2 linked regions of the Styela clava genome follow. The protein of the gene in region 2 purifies or fractionates together with the protein of the main gene of each other region. This does not show direct contact. Links are inferred from orthologs where the notes say so. Each region holds a gene or a part of one and is shown on either strand. Other genes may lie near its edges.

Region 1 (8,939 bases), on a different chromosome or scaffold from region 2:
GCTCCAATGCACATATTTCTCGTCGCCTTTCGCGTCCGTTTTCCACTCGCTTTTGCTACTCGGCGTCTTTTTTACGTGTAGTACTTGCCTTTTTGCGCCTGTAACGAAACAAAATAATCTCTATATCTAAGAAGTTTTGCTCACTTGGAAAGCTGGAATGGCAGGCAAGCTGTAAAGAGCAATTCTGGACATCACAGACGTTTTTTTTTATCAGAGAAGATTACAAACGCGATAGCCGAAAGATTTGTTTGGAACATTTTGCAGATAATGACAAAATTCAAAGTTAGTAATTTTAATGTTTGCGCTTAATCATTGAAATTTCATTTGAAGAGGGTGTCATACAAAACTGTGCTGTGATACAATTCCATAACACAAAGTTTGCACCTATCGAACTTGCTTTTGTAGGTGAATTTATTAGACATATTACATATTCAGTTAATCGTAGGTAACATTGCTGGTACATAATGCATCGTAGATAGGTTTGTTTAAATTCAGGAATTTAGCTCATAGCCCACTAATTAATATTATCTTCTATGCAGGAGGTTGCAGGGCTGAATTCAACTTGCAGCCTTACCGATCACCTGACGATGCTCATTTAATTTGACTCGAGCAAGTCTTCTTGAAATGCTTGTGTGGATGGAAACTACCTATATTTTTTGCCTTCCTCCGATTTTAGACAAATTTATGCTCAGGGATTTCGCATATAATTCTCATTGATTGTTGGATGTTTATAATTCCTATTGATTGTGAATTCTGATTATAACAAAGAGTTAAAAAAATTTTTATCTAATTTACTGGCACCTTTTTCTTGTCAATACTCCAAGCTGAGGTAATAAACAAGAAAATACATTTATGTCATCTGGAAGCAAAATATGCACACTAATTAATAGTTTGGCACATTGAGATGATACATCATGACAGAAAATACAAGTTAAAGATATGTATGACCATCACATGGTAATTAAAATAAAATAAAATTAATAGGGGCTGTGGAGTATGAAAAGTTCAAGACAAAGAAAAGAACAAATGTTCATAGCTCATGAACTCTCAATTTTGCCTCCATTGCTTTGTGAAGGCCAATATATTTCGAGTGGCTGAATTGGTTTACCTTTATGATAGCAACGATTTTGTATTTAATATAGCGAGATTATTTCAATTTAATTGAAGTGATATGATTTCCCAAAGCAATGCTTGAATCGTCTAGAATAGATCAGTGGTGTCAAACTCATGGGTTTTCGAGAGCCGCATTGCATTTTGGAAATTGTAAAAAGAGCCGCAAACAGTTTTTGATAATGTATACTTAAAAGATATTTTTAAGATAGTTTTAGTTTGTGACATATATTGTGATGCAACTAAACAGTTGGATTAAGTTTTATTATTTTCTTCAATTTCAAATGCAATTACATATTAATATTTGCATTCCACTATTATTGCAACATTTGCAAGTTACTGTATTTATTATAAAAAATCCTAAAATTCTATGTACAACCATCAAAATCATTTTTGAACAAGCTTTGAATAAGGAAAGAATAATACATACACTAAAAATAACTTAATCTAAATATATGAACCTAAAATTAACAAAAATACTACAGTATAAACTCAATGTTTTAATAATTACATTTGTCCTGACGTTTGGCATCGTTTTTGTGTCACCAGCATACTAAGGCCAGGCTGAAATGATTTTATAGTACCAACTCTAACTTACGAGGCCACATGATCATGGGTTAATCTGTGCAAATGTTTAATTAATTCCGGTAATGCAAAAAAGTTACTTTTATCATTTCATGTATAGATCAGTAAAAAAAAAAATGACAGATTTTTTCGACAAGACATTTCGCACCACATTGCGTGACATAGGATTGCTTGAATTATTATTGATATTGATTTTTAGTAACTAAGTCGTTGTATAATTATATTAATATACAAACACATGGAAATTTTCTGTTCGAAGTTGGTCTTCGAATTTTTCATATTGACTGCTGAGCTTATTCTGTTTTTTCATTGTATTGATGGAAATATGACAAATTAAACAATGTGCTTCAGAATTTTGTGAAAAGCAGAAATGTTGCAACTCCCATTTTCTTCGAAAATGCCACCTTCTTCATGTACTTTGCGTTTAATTTAATCACTCAAGTGTTTTATTCAAGTATTCGTTTGCTAGCTTGGTGTGTATATTCCTAATTGGGTCAAAATGTGGACAAAAAAAATTAATATTCCAAAACTACTTTCAGTAAATTGTTTTCTGTGTGAATATTCAATTTCACTTTAAAAGGTTTGAAAAATCTATTACATTAAGATAAAAAAAAACTTCCAAAATACTATTACAATTATTGTTAAGCATTTGAGGGCCGCACTGGAAGTTCTTTGGGGCCGCGAGTTTGAGATCCCTGGTCTAGATTGAAGTTGTCCAAAAAATATATGTTAGTATTTTATCATGAATGATGATTATACCCCTTCCGGAATTTCTTCTATAGTACTACCAAAAGTTGATGAACTAAATATAACACAGGTGCAGTGAGTTACCCGTAATCCTCATTTTCCAAAGCTGTTTTAAGTATGTCTGGCGTGTTTTGTGCCTTTTTATAAATAAGACCGCTTATGCAATATTACGCTTTGGAATTTTTAGTTATTTTCCTTAAGCCCTGCAGGATGTGAGGGCCATACACAACTCTACCGGAGGGTCAAATGTCTTTGCATGCCTCCATAAGTTGTTTTTCTATTGCAAACATTTATGGAGTACTCTAATTATATTTCTTGGAATCACACTGTCACTGATATGTCGCCAGACTTCTGATATCTCCCCTTCTGCTATAGTTGTCCTGTGAATAAATAATAGAAAATTGAGATTAGACGAATAGTTGAAAGTTTTGCTTTATGTCGGCTTAATTTCTTGATTGATATACTTACTATTTCTGCTATTGCATCTTGTGCTGCAGGAGTCTCACAATGCTTAGACAGGTTTGTCCACAACTTTCACATCTGAAGAAAGAGAGGAGATTTATTAATTTTCGTTAAGAATAAATAAAGCAGTCTATATGATTCAGAATGGAAAAGCTAATAAATCCAATATCTCATGTTTTATGTAAAAAATATTTTACTGAGTTTGGTATATAAACCAACTAATAAAAGGGTTTAGTCAGAAAATTACAAGCATTCGTGGCTCCAAATACTTGAGAAATCAGACTACGACTTCAATACGCAAATAAAAGTGAATGCGTAATAGTATGTTACAATGAGCAGCAATCAACAATGAGTATATATCCTCACTGATTAAAAAAATCTAACTGGAGGTGCATGAACTATTTGAAACCATAAGGTGTAAGTAAATATGTAATTTCGGCAAATGGGCAACTACGTACCGTACTGAATTAATACCTTCGTAGTATTTGACAAAGGCTGGCTTTCCCACATGTACTTAACAGTGCGATGCCCGGGTGTGATATACAACAATAGTATTTACCTTACCTTTTTTCGATTTCTTTTTACCTTAACTTTCCAAAATATCATTAAAATCGACAACAACTGTCAAAGCAGGCACGAACACCATTCGTGCTACGCCTTGAAAGCAGCACACATCCGCTCGTTTTCGTCTCGTCAAGTATGTGCATTGGAGCGTGCTATCGAATACGATCTTCGGACAAAAATGCCGGAGTTGCGCATCATGTTGTTTAATGTCATTGGTGTTCCTTCATTCACAGTCAGAAATTTGTTATCTTATGCGTCGCTATGATTGCATATCAACGCATTTTTTTGATAAAAAAGAGTGAACTAAAATGTAGCACAAATTTAAAAACGGGATATCACAGGCATGAATACACATGCTTGGAATCACCACAGTGTGTACAACGTAATTTTTTCGAGGTAATCTTGTCGTGGGCTACCAAGCGTGACTTTGTTAATCAAGTAAGATTCTGATCCACTCGATCCTCGTCAGTAGCGGTAGTTCAGGGGAAGCGTAGAGATATGGGCAAACATGAGGCCGAGTTCGAACCCCACAAGGTAGAGTTGTAGAGATACGCCAACGGGATAGACGGAGTTTCAGGGGTGGACCAGCAAGCAAAGCAGGCAGTTGAGGGGCAACGAACAAGGTGAACAGAAGCTTCAGGTATGGGCCAGCAGGCAAGGCACGCGGCCGAGGGCATCTACCGGGGTAGGCTGAATCTCAGTGATGAACCAGCAGGCAAGGCATGGCAGACTGAGGAGCCTCAGAGATGGACTAGGCCCAGTGAGAGGAGCCAGGGTTGGGTCAGCAGAAATAGAGGAAGCCAAGAGCAAGCGCGGAGAGAGGGGAGGAGCAGCAAGAGAGAAGAAGGGGAGCAAGAGAGAAGAAGGAAAGTGTAAGCAGGGGCGAAAATGGTTATGCCACGCCTACTAGAACGGCGTTTAGTGCCTAAATGGTAAAACGGCTTTCCTCTTCCCCGGGATAGGCTAAATATGTAAATCATATCCATCATTCCCTTGAGTGAATGAATCCATAGTTTGAAAAAAGGCCTTCTCGTTATCTTGAGAATATAAGGTTTTTTCCATGTAAAATATATGTGATCTCGGTCGATTCTATTTCAAATTAATTACAAATGTACGTAAACATCAGAACTGGAAAAACCACTTTAAAATTGAATTTGTGCTACATTCTTAATGAAACTGGAAATGGTTTGGCAAGGGCAAATGTCATTCGGTTTTGAATTTTCCTATAATTTTATTCTTCAGGATGGCAATTGTGTTGTTATTGCGGAATTTCTCTCTGGTATACTTCTTGAATCACAATCAGGTTTGGCGCACAGGGCAAAGCACAAAAAATACCCTACATTGAAGTCAGGGTGGCGATAGAAGTTTCTGAGTATCTGCACACATACTGTTTCCTCTCTCGTCCGAACGCCTACAATCTAGCTCACCTAACAAGGGTTTCCTGCTGTCATAAAAATAACGAAAATAAATTAGAGTAAAGATTCAATCACATTAATGCGAGGGGTGGTTGAATTAGGATTAATACGTCATACTGTGCGGCTATCTCATTAGAGTAAATAACAGAAATATTGTCGGTATAAACATGTATAACTTCAAAATATTGTGTTTTTGGCCAACAAAAATGTAGGATTGGTATACCAGATTTTAAGTGAAGGATATAAGGGCGTACTTCAGAAAAGATTGACGAGCACTGCCCTGGCCTAGAGTGCACAGAAGCTTTTGTAGGTGGCGCCAAAGAGTTCGCGGCAGCTGTTCGTCGATTCTGTTCGGTTGTTTCGCGCTGAATCGGGTTGCCTGAATATCTTTCCACGAATGGCTAATGTCAAGCTGGGAATTGTGAGACTTGGAAGAGTTGCCGGAAAGGTGAGTCTTATGTATATGGATGATATTGTTTATAAAGTGTATAGCCCCAACATTTTTACGCCAAAGAGTGTTTTTTATTCCATATTTTTGTAGGAAAAGCACTGTTGTGATTAGGGCCTTTTTGAACCTACTGGTACCGATAGTTTTCTAAAACTAGGCCGATACCGATGTTTTCTCACCTACAAATATGGCTACAAGTAACATATTGTGTTTTTCTTGCAAAAGAATTGAAATGTTGAACTCATGCAATGTGTGCATGGCAAGAAAGAACACATATTGTAAGGGCAGGAAGCTTATGAATCTCAATAGCTCCAGTTCAACAGTCTCAGATGTAGTTGAGCAGAGTTTTTCTGCATTGGCTCCATTGCTTTTCTGCATTGGCTCCAACCATACTTGCTCTTGTGTTTTGCTTTGAAATGGCTCTACAAATTATACCCATCTTTTTTTTTTAAATCGGCGAAACCTTTCGACTTAATAATGATAAGCATATCTAACAAATTACGCCACACGAAGTATTGCTATACTTTGCTCTGACCGCTAGAACCAGCCATCTATTGCATATCAATACAAGAAGTTAAATCGCGACTTGAACGACCAAAGCGCAAGGGAAATCCAAGGCCGTCGTTGCGGCGAGAAAACAAAAGTAATAACTGTTCGATTCTGGGTGCTCGTTTGCGCGTTTTGGATGGCAGTTCGTATAGTTTGAAGGGCTCTATTATGTCACTGTGACGTCGTAATGATGTAATTCTTGGATGGTGTAGTCAGGTGGGGGTTAGGATTGAAACATGAATACATATGTTAGGTACGAAACTACATGAGACCCCATTCTATTCTATCAAAGTGTATTTATTGATTGGGACCCACCGAGTGTTTATGTTACACAAGTTTGACGCACGAACGATACCCATGCGTGTCTTTGTCTTTTTTATTTTGAATAAAAGTTTCTGTGTTGAATGAGGGTGAACTGACACATGTATTAAACCTTTATAAAAGTTTTGCCAGTTTCCCATATTTCCCCAATCTTTTGTGTGTTCATTGTTTGGGTTTTGTGTATGATTTTTTTGCGGGAAAATCAAAATATACTTATATACCATTCTGTTTACTAATTCAGTATTTCAATATTCAAGTTCAGTACCACCGCGTTTCCCCGAAAATAAGACCTGCGGTACCCTGAAAATAAGATCTGGCCCGAATTTTAAAATGATTTTAATATAAGGCCTCCCCTTAAAATAAGACCTGGTCAATATCGCGAAATTTTTTCTGACTATGGGTATAGCATGAAATCTCGGGTCTAGTGTAGTTTCGTACCGAAAGTACTGTAAAAGTGCCTAACTTCGGACAGTTTCTAATTTAGGACAAAAATTTTAAACGACCATATCTTGTCTAAAAGGCGTCGTATCTTGCAAATTCCAATTATTATAGGTAGCGCTGTTATATATACATCTATTGTTAATTCTTTTATTGTTGCATGATTATTTTTTTGGTCAGAAAACGGGAATTTTGCCAAAAAATGACTGTCTGGTATTCAACGGCGCAGAGCGTCGCTCATACTTATTAAGCTATCATCGTCAAAATACCATCATTCGGTAGAGGGCGATAGCAAAGTATATACATTATCAGAGTGATCGCAAGATGTTGTAGAAGATTTGAATAAAACCTCTGTTCTGAATTGAAAATTCCGTAAAATTATTGAGATTCCAAGCTGCGTCAAAAGTAACGTCAATCTCATGTAGATCATTTTTTGCTCACTTCTGACACGACGCCACACTGGTCGTGGAAATGAATTTTGACGCCCGACATTGACGCCAAATTAGCATTTTCCGTTTAGATAAAGACGGCGTTCCAGTGTAATATTTTTGTATTTTGTTCGGTCCATGTGTGAATATATGCCAAAATCAACTTAATGAGAATACGTGTCTTACTCGACTTCAAAAATCGAACATATAAAAAAACTAGAAAAATTCCAGTCTATATGTATACTGACTTAACAATTATTTTATGAAATCGAAATGGCAGTTATTGAATACAGCCTGGGTGAATTTTATTCACTCGAAGTGAAAAATTCATTTAATTTCAAACAAAAATCCCGCCACCTATCTCAATGTTAATTAACAAGAGTAAGTTGAAGATTAAACTTTACAATTGGGTTCGCCGTATATTTGATATCGATTTATCAGCGTAACATCAACAAAGCTATCCGTCGAGAATGATAATATTTCAAAGACTTACAATACAAGCCTGTTACAATATTTCATTATAAATTAAAACGGTTTACATCAGATATGTAGTTGGTTAATGTGGTATTATATTGATCTGAATTGACGAAAATAACGAACGAAAGATGTAAACATTATAAGACGATGAAAGTTTCAAATAATGCGTTGTCGTCGCGGCGTTGATTTTATGTTACGACGTCAATCGAGCGTCTTATCTTCACGCAACGACGTGACTAGGTCACCCGCATCGGAAGCCTCTTTCTCTCTGTGCGTTGCAGTTTTGCATTGAGGAAAATGGCTATTCGAAGTTAGGGCTGTGAAGGATAACGGTCAGATGGCAAGAAAAGTAGAATATTTCAATAGTAAAAACCCAAACCCAAAACCCAAAATTTGCAGGGAATATTAATTACTGCACGAATGTTTTACATAGCAATTTTGGCGTCGTTTGGACAATAAATGTTATATTGTACAGTTATTGATGAAAATATGGTAATTTTGTCCGAAGTTAGGCGCTTTCACAGTACTTCTAGGGGTTGTAGCATGATAATTTATGCGTATGTTAATTTTAACCCCCACCTGACTTCGTCATCCAATAATTATCAAACTATCATCTAATACGTTCGGACGATCACTCGACATCGAGCAATCTATTTCTCTCGTTTCTATCAGAAAGTTCTTTATCATAGGTGCAAATGCCATTTCGCGCGGCCGTAGGTAACGGTATACTTTAGCAAACTCTATGGCATGATTAAGACGTTGTAATGACGTATTATATCGATGGTGTAGTCAGGTGGGGTTAGGATTGACATTTGAAAAAATAAACAGGCAACACCCATTAGAAGTACGTTAGATATGAAACTACATGAGACCCGAAATGTGAATGTTTTCAAAGAACTCAAAGCTCATTGGTTTTTAGTTATTGACAAAGCCGAGCTTTTCCTAAAGCGTTTTATAAATTTCAGACAAAATATACAATTCTGGATGAGGACGATATTTCCTTGGTGACAACATATGTGTTTGAACCTCGCATGAATATTGATCATAACGGAAACGGTGTCAGAATATTTGCGTACGCCTACAGCGTAAAACGGGGCAGAACGCATGCAAAACGTGTGCAGGACTTGCTATGGTGAGTTTTTTACTTTTATTAAAAAATCCAAATGAGTCAGAATGATTCATCAAATCCTAAATAAAAACAGAAATACCCTTCTGAATAATATCCTGTTTGGTGAGGCAGCAAAAATTGCACTTTTACCCAGAATCAGGGTAGGTGATCTCTGAGCGACGCTCAAGTGAAAAAAGTGCAATATGATCAGGATAACAGCTACGAAGTAATGAATTTAGCATAACTGTAGACAGTTATTGGGAATAAAATTAAGGTATGTAATTGTA
Region 2 (8,799 bases):
CTAACATTTGCTATCAGACCTACCAAGTATTTTGGTCTAACTTGTCAATTGAAGGTTTCAGACCCCCCCCCCCCCCCCCCCTTCAAAATCTTCAGGTATGCCCGTAGGGCTTCACCCTAAATATTGAATGAATCGCCAAAAGATTTTCAGTTTAAAATATGCATATTTTGCAGGTCGCGGGGCTGGGAATCCATCGGTGCTCCATTTGATTGAAAAGCAGCAACGAAAAGAAATATGTAGCAATGTCCACGTGATAGAACCTAAATTGCCTTTTTACTCCAGCTAAGAACCACTCCCAAAGCATTAAAAAACATCAATACAACTATTAATATAACTCGATATTCAGTGTTTATTCACATTAGTAATTGAATAATAATTTGTATTTCTATGGAATTTTGAGAAAAAAACTTGGGTACTCCAGAAATACGTGTACCAAGATGACGGACAACGGAACATAGTATATGTACCAGGTTAGGCCATACTTTTAGGTACAAATACTACGAAACTCTATTGGTTAGTCCCTGAACTCGTAATAGAACTAAAATAAGGACATGTGGCCTAACGCTAACGTGGTACACATACTACGTTCCGGTGTCCTCCTTTCTTGGTACGCATACTTCAGGAGTACGGAAACTTGACTGTAATCACATACATCTTAATCTTCGTTCTAGCTGCTGTGTTTCTTCAATTGGTTTCGTCCATTTGTTGTTATTATTTTGGCTGCAGTACTTTGCGTATACATTTGCTCAAATTTTTTGAATACTTTCTCAAGTAGTGTTGTTACATCTTGACATTCAGTTACATTGTTTAATAGGTATTCACTTATGAATGATTTGAGAATATTTTTCTTTTATTTCAAGTGTCAGATGTTCAATGATGGGATGATGGAAATAAATTTCAGCTGCTTGCATGTGTTGAGATAGCCTTTGTATAATCATTGACTCTTAAAAAAGTTATTTATAGATTGGTTTGATTAATTTCTTGAGCAGAGCCTTGTGTTTCTGGGTTGCATTATTAACAGAAATTGCTGCTCTACCTATGCATTCTAGATTGTTGTCACATTCACAAAAGCTGCAGTGCGCAAATCACTGGCCCTTCGTTTCGTTCGACGCCGTTGAATTCTTTCTGGTAATCATCACAGCAAATTTTTAACGTTCACTCATTTTATCTCTTATGAAGTTCCAGATCTAAACTAAATTCAAAGTTTAAATTACTGGTATTTTAATTTATAAGGTTAAAAATAAGGACACACGTCAAAATAAAGATGTTTCTTAGAAACAAGGGCAAAAACATTTCCTAAAATAAAGACCTTCAAAATAAGGACAAATTCTAAAAATAAGGACGTTGTGGCAGCCCTGATTATAGCCATGGGTCAAGTGGAGAAAAAACTTGTGTGAAAGCTGCAATACTTGAGATGGAGTGAGACCAAAATGCCGTGCTACTAAGCGTTTTTTTTATATATATAAAGTGCAAAGTATTCCTTTTCGTCACCACTTTACCTACATCTGACTGACATTTTTTGCAACGCATCGCATTTTTGATGCCTTGCTTTCTTTTGACAAGGAAGTTGTCACATCATCCTGGTCAGTTGCAAGACAGACTGTGTCTTCATTTTCACAATTATTTGTTCATTTTATCGAATCTCTTCGTCCTTCAGCAAATATTTCGATCAGTCATCAATGAACAGGGCTAGTTTTCGAGCTGTGATGCAGGAGCGTCGTCGTCCCTAAGCATTTAGTCTGAACAAAACCAACCGTGACGCCCGCCACTTGGAGGTGCAACATCGCCTTTGTTTGTTTATTATACGGCGAGCGGAGTTGGACATCTAGTAGTAGTGTATATTTACGGTCAAACCACACTCATGTTGGCGATTATCTTAATCATTAACACCACACACATTTGCATGCTCTAAGTACACAGCGTAACTTCGACAAAGGATGAAATCTTTGTATACACGCGGGCACAGCATATTGTACTATAGCAAGTTAAAATGTAGGGGAGAATCCAAATATAGCTCGACTGGTCACCTGATTACAATAATTCAAAGATAATCACAAAGAAAATCCTCACAAAGAATCACACCATCCAAATAGAAAACAAAAGTACATGCATGTGGACAGCGCCGGATTAACCATTAAACCAGGGGTCAGCAACCTTTTGTCCCTAGCGGGCCAAAATAAGGGTTGCAAGTCATTGGCGGGCCGCACATATTTTTAGAAAGTTTAAACCCGAACTGATGATACTTTTTATAATGATGATAAATCATTTTATATAGTTTATCGGTGTTTATTAAAATATTACGAGTTCACCAGACGACTCAAACTTTAAAATGTTCGCTTATTTTTCGGCTTCAAGTATCATATTAGCCTTGTTTATTAAAAATAAACACTGAAACCTATTTATTGGACACGAAATGGGCCTATGAGTCGTTTTCTTAAATTGTCGTTGTCTTTTCTTTCTAGTATTCACCTTGTTGCTGCATTTTTGTTTTAAAATAAAAATTTTCTCTTCAACAATTAAACCAATGAACTATTCACATTATGTGACGGTTCCACGATCGCATTTCAACGATCCAATGGTCAGCGAAGTTTTTTGATGAGGTAGACCAGGGTGGTCCAAACCCTGTCATGCTGATACATTCCCTGCGGCTCACTGAACAATTTAAGCGTATATTTGTATCTAATGGAGGAACGTTTTTGAGTTTTTTTTTTAGCTATTCCAACTGGGGTTGGGATCCCGAGATTCAAACCCCTTTTCTAACGCTTTGTGCTTTTATTTTAGTAAAAACACTCCTCTGTTTTTGAGCGTGGGCCATGTGACAGTGGTGACGAAATTACTTACGTTTCTAAATTACTCAATATAACAATACGTAATAAAATGAGTGTCGAAAGAAAGGTGACATAGAGAAATCACGGCGGAAACGTATTTCCTTGCCCATCACACAGTGTCTGGTTAGATTTCAAGTAATATATATCTGTCACGAAAGAATATAATTTGAGGCGACATTAAAAAGTGAGATGCGCAAAATACAACGGTAATTCTCGGGAATTAACTTTAAAATAACGACGGCTATATACATTTTCTTTAAAAGAACGCCACCCATGCAGCATAATAATGGTCTGATTAGAACGGTAAACTCTCGTTGTTTATTAAATTTAAAGTGGGTTTTCTCCGACTTGCGGCCCGCGAGACCTCCTCAAAGGTTTTGCGGTTCTTCAACCTAGCAACCTTGAAGCACCCTGAGGTAGACTACTAGGTGCCGGTAAAATTTCAAACTACAGTTGTTATACTCATATACTTTGGTATTTCGATTCACGTTGAGACTCGAGGCATAAATCTTTATTGTCACACTTCCTTAGGATTAGAGATCAACCGATATATCGGTCCGATATTGCGTGTTTGCCGATATATCCTATCGGCGGTAAACGGCCGATATATTTATTGGCTATATATGGCTGTTAAAAAACCTAAAAATGTTCGTAAAATTTGTTTATTTACTGTTGGTTGTGATTATTTTTAATGATAATTCACTTATGTGGTTTTTATAATTAAATTACACATGAGAGGGCACCAAAGTCTTCAGTGCTTAGGGCACCAAAGGGGCTTGCTTAATCCGCCGCTGTCTTCATTGGTTGACAAATATTTAGGAACTAGATTTATCTCTATCATGTGTGAGAGTATTACGGGATTCTTCGCCGTCGTAAGATGGTTCACTTGCTCCACCATAAAGTTCATCAATTTGAAACAGATTTACTAGCTAACTGATCACTTACCAGTAGGGGTGGGCATTTCGAATCGAATAGTAAATTATTCGAATCGGTTCAGAGCTAAACTTCGAATCGCCGCCATCTTGTTTTTATCTTTCCGCTAATGGTCGAGGTGAATTCCCCAAGTTTTTTTTCATTGAAGTCATATTTTTTCAACGAAATTCTAACATATGAATATTTCCTGTAGTGAGTTATTCTGTGTGAACGCTCAGTAATCTATCTGAGTGATTTATTCTATGTCTTCAGTAATTCATTTGTTGAGAGGACCAATTACTATATTAAGATCGCTTACAATTATATATTTTCAAGTATACGAGATTCGATTCGATTCGAAAAAATTATTCGATTCGATTCTGAAATCACAAGGTATTCGAAAATGCCCAGCCCTACTTACCAGACGAGAGGCACTGATACGCCATGTGATTAAGCCGTCTTATCGGTTTCCTTATCCGCGGAATAAATATGCAAGTCCTATTCTAATGTATTGCAGTACAAAATGCGATTTGCTGACACATAATCTGACTTTTTCATCTAGGGTGGAGTAAAAAAAATCATTACCTAATCCTGATTCTGTAATAAGTTTATTTATTTTGTTTTTAACAATTATTTTATCGTTTATTAAGCTGATTATGAAGTCCAAATTAACTTATGCGTATACTTATAATTAATTTAATGTTGTCATCCGTAAATTTATTCAGAAACCAGTCTGTGCTTTTATTTTTGAACAGGTGGCCAGAGACATTATATAAGTATACAATGGGTCTGGGGTGGCCGTGACCTTGCTTAGGTAAAACAAGAGAGCTATGCTAAATTATATGGACATGGGTGTACGGCTCTGTTCGCCATTCCTCATTAGGAACTCTTAGCAAAGCAAGAATTTTGTTACACACCACCGACGTTCGATGAGCACGTGACCAAAAGAATAACAAGAAAAGTTGCCAGCATAAAAAACAAGTTCTTTTTGTGTAAAAAAACGAATTCCACGGTGCTATCAGGAATATTTGAAATAAATGAAAGTAATAGTCTTCTAGAATTTTTTTTTATCTCTAACCACTAAAAATTTCAGAGGAATTGGTCCAGTAATCAAAAAAGTGATTTTTTAAGATTCCCCACTAGGTGTCCGTAAAAGCAAAACAATCCATAGGTCCGTGTTCATTGAAGTGGGAAATAACCATTGAGGTGTATAGAAATAACTAAAAACAGAGCTATGCTCGAATATATGGACACGTAGTGCCACATAGTGGCAAATTGTGATGGCGTCATATCACACAAAAAACAATAAATTAAAGTAATATCCTTCTAGCAAAGAATAAAATTTTAGACACTGAAAATTTCAACGCAACTGGTCCAATATTCAAGGGGAAAAGGGATTTTTTCAAAACGATATAAAGAAGAAGAGGCCAACAAGAACAAGATTACCAAAAATAGGAAAACGATCTATAGGTCCACTCACGTGTCCAATAAAAGCTATTTACCTTGTGGGAATGTAGCTTAAATAATTCCACACACCACGGCTTGGCGACAGAAAAGAGCAATTTTACATCTCAAAAGGAAAACATATTTGCGAAAAGTGCCGCCGCTCGACAACCAGTATTGGTTTTCAGAGTTTTCTATCAAATGCGTTTTTTTTTTATATATTTTTTTAATTTGAGTATACTATGTACATAGCGCGTGTTTTCAGCATGGTGAAGAAATAAATTACTCATTACTGGCCAGTAAAATTAATGACGTCTTGCCGGATTCGACTCCAGTGATCCGGTTTTCCGATTCGTAAACAGGCGTCCTGTGTTTCCGATTTCAGTGCATTCTGCAAATTTACGGCGCTTTGAATGCTTTCCCCGTTTGGTACCGGTACCGTATTTCACCGCCATAAAACAGTCGTTTGTAATGTCTAGCGAGGAGAACGCCTTCTTGAATTACAAGATTTTTAACTGGTCTAGTTATTCTACGAATTATCTGCCAGAGTAAGTTCGTTTTTGATTGTTTTTAATTGTACTTACAGACTTACCGTACGGTACCGTAGTCCAGGGCTACTATTTTTATCGGAGGTCCGCAAACAAAACTTCAAAATTATTTGGGTCCGGTCTTTCCAGAACTGATATTTCGGCATCCTTTAACGAGAATTTCCTCGACCGGCTAATGATTAGTAGCATATTAAAATTGTTTATTATGGTGTTATATTTCTTTTCCTATATCTGTATATACTCAAAACTATGAAAGTCATTTTATAATAGGAAATTCAAAAAGTGGGGCTAATGATCCAAAATAAATAATCAGGTGCGGTCCAAATCCAATACTCGAAAGGTCCGGATTCGGACCGCGGTCCGCCAGTTGAGTAGCCCTGCCGTAGTCTATCGCTGTACGAGCAAAAATTTGCGACATTCAGACATTGGTTTATTTTCTGACTGAATTGCCATTCCAACATTTGCTCTTTAACATTGCTTTGTTCAATTCACCAGCTTACCGTACCAGTTCAATGGTTATTCTAATGTCAGTAAAATAGGATTTACATATTTATCCAGGGGGAGAGGAAAGCCGATAAGACGGCCTATCCATATGGCGAACCACCGCCTCTCGTCCGGTTACCGTTCCAAGTCGGGTATGGGATTAGTTATAGCCTATTGTTCGTTTTCGGAAGCATTGACTTGGCGGTGGAGGAAGCCGTACTGGTAACCCAGTCTGGATTTCATGGCCTTTTTGAACGAGAAATCGGGCGTGCAATCAGAAATTCCCGCGTGCAAATAAGAATTCCTGGCGTGCAATTATAGCTCACGACGTGCAAAACAACTGCACTCGCGTGCAACTGACTTTGACATCAGATACCTCTCAATACATCCGCGTAAAATTACCGGTATCGGATAAAAAATACGTTGAATCAGAGAAAAAATGGACGTTTGACCTTTGACCCCAAACATTATTTCTACAGTTTGTCGCTAATTTTGAGAGTGTTTGTGCGACTTTGGATACCGGTACTGTTCAGTACACCCGCGTAAAATTATTGGATAAAAAATACGTTGAACCAGAGCAAAATGGACATACTTTGTCATTAATTTTGGTAGTGTTTTTACGTAGAATTAATGGATAAAAAATACGTCAAATTAGAGCAAAATGGACGTTTGACCTTTGACCCCAAACATTATTTTCATACTTTGTCACTAATTTTGGGAGTGTTTGAGCAACTTTAGATACCGGTACTGTTCAGTACATTCGTGTAAAATTATTGTATGAAAAATACGCTGAATCAGAGCCGTACTTGGCCATTGGTGCGGAGGCGATCTTTTCGTCCATAACTATTCTCACGGGATTCCTATTTCCTATCATTCAACACGATATGGACCTTTCCCCGAGCATCGACTTCCTTGTTTACTTCGTGACATTGGCCAATCAGCAAGATGCAAAAAAGGACGTAACAATGAGAGGAATTTTTCGCGGGTCAAAGGTTGGGGCGAACCCACGCAGAGTAATTAAAGGTGCGGTGGCGAGCGTATTCCTAACGCTTATCCCGTTGAGCCACACCGCCCCCTCTGTATCACGTTTATGCTGCCATGTACCGCAATCAGAGGTGCATTGGCGAGCGTATTTTTAACGTTTATCACGATGTGCCAAACGGCCGAGCGCCAGGGTTATCCTATCCGCAATTCCCATCAGAACATGACTAGTTTAGAAAGAAAAGAGTCTGCATCTTTTTTTTAATTAACATCCCTATCTTAGCAATAAATATGAGAAATTATTTTACACAGTTGCCATTATGAAAATACCGTTCCATTGTATGCTATTTCTCTCCACCTGGATAAATATGAGTACCCTATTCTCAGATTTTTTAACTGAGAACATTTACCCATTTTGGTAGATAAATCATACCGGTATAAGCATTTGATAATAACAAAACCTCCACATTACAGAAACATTCAACAGAATGAGCCGACAAAACAGTCATCGAGATGGTCATCAAGCTCCAATTCACCCCCTCAGTTTCTACTCCTCAAACTACCACGACCAGCGATCGTTCAAACCATTATGTTCGGAAAATTTGAGAAAAATCATGTCTGTAATATCAAGAAATTTAAAGTAAGAGTTGAAGTTTTAAGAGTAAATGCTCGAAACTGGAATGAGGCAAAAAATAGAAGTCTCTCATTGCCGAAATGTTGCGTCATTGTGCATTTTTACCACAATGAACTGTGTTATTTTTAACTTTAGCACCAACGCCTCCCTCTAAGCTGCGCCGAGAATCCATGCACAGTACTTTCGTTCTGCCGCGCACTGCATAAGTATTGACAATTCTGTGTTCGTTTAAAATGTGTTCTTTTCTATTTTTTCTAATTTTCCGCGCAGACCTTTTTTTGGAGCTTACATAGCCTTCTATTCCGCGCAACTAAGCAAGCTCTTAGAGTGAATGTTGTTTAGCACTAGAGTGTTGTATCGAGTGCAATAAGTCTCTTGAATCAATAAATTTTTGTTGCTGTTGTTTCAGGTTCTAGGGGGAATGGAAGAGGATAATCTGATAGAGTTACTCAAAGGTGGACTAAAGAACGATCACAACCCAGAAACATTCCATATGAAGCATAGAATAGATGGACAACTTTTCCCTTGCAGGTTTATCAAAATAGGTGAGACAATTTAGGTTGTTACTATAACTTCCCGACCTCGACTAGTTAGAACCGATTGAGGGCAATTCAAGATATTACAGAAGGAGTAATCAGGGACGTAGCCAGAATTTTTCAAATGAGAGTTCTGAGATTAATATTTGCCAAGTTTGGTTGTAACAGCTATTGGGTCCGACCGGAAAACGTTTGGGTGTTAAGAATCTTAGGGGGCTAATAAGCGTTTCAAGCTGAGAAAAATTGAATTGTAAGATACAGAAAAATCCTTTTTTTTTTCATTTCAAATCAGGCAGGAGGTTTCGACCCTCAAAACTGCCCTGGCTATGTCCCTGTTTACTATAATAACATCTCAGCCCACAAGTTCAAACTAGCTTGTAATTAAATCCCATGCCCACCACCTCGTGAATAAATTGCGTAGGCAGTGCGGAACC

Evidence for each region.
Region 1: the proteins of muskelin-like (region 2) and zinc finger MYND domain-containing protein 19-like purify together in Homo sapiens (affinity purification with mass spectrometry; 3 studies listed by BioGRID and IntAct, with this or other methods). This does not show direct contact. The link is inferred for Styela clava from reciprocal best matches to the Homo sapiens genes MKLN1 and ZMYND19.

Annotation. Positions count from the first base shown.
Region 1 is NC_135254.1:72,997-81,935, forward strand, and holds the start of zinc finger MYND domain-containing protein 19-like, read left to right. Parts: upstream 1-5,117; 5' UTR 5,118-5,280; coding exon 5,281-5,331; intron 5,332-8,509; coding exon 8,510-8,676; intron 8,677-8,939. UniProt on the Homo sapiens protein: May be involved as a regulatory molecule in GPR24/MCH-R1 signaling.
Region 2 is NC_135256.1:3,514,884-3,523,682, reverse strand, and holds the start of muskelin-like, read left to right. Parts: upstream 1-5,533; 5' UTR 5,534-5,654; coding exon 5,655-5,731; intron 5,732-7,669; coding exon 7,670-7,835; intron 7,836-8,238; coding exon 8,239-8,374; intron 8,375-8,799. UniProt on the Homo sapiens protein: Component of the CTLH E3 ubiquitin-protein ligase complex that selectively accepts ubiquitin from UBE2H and mediates ubiquitination and subsequent proteasomal degradation of the transcription factor HBP1.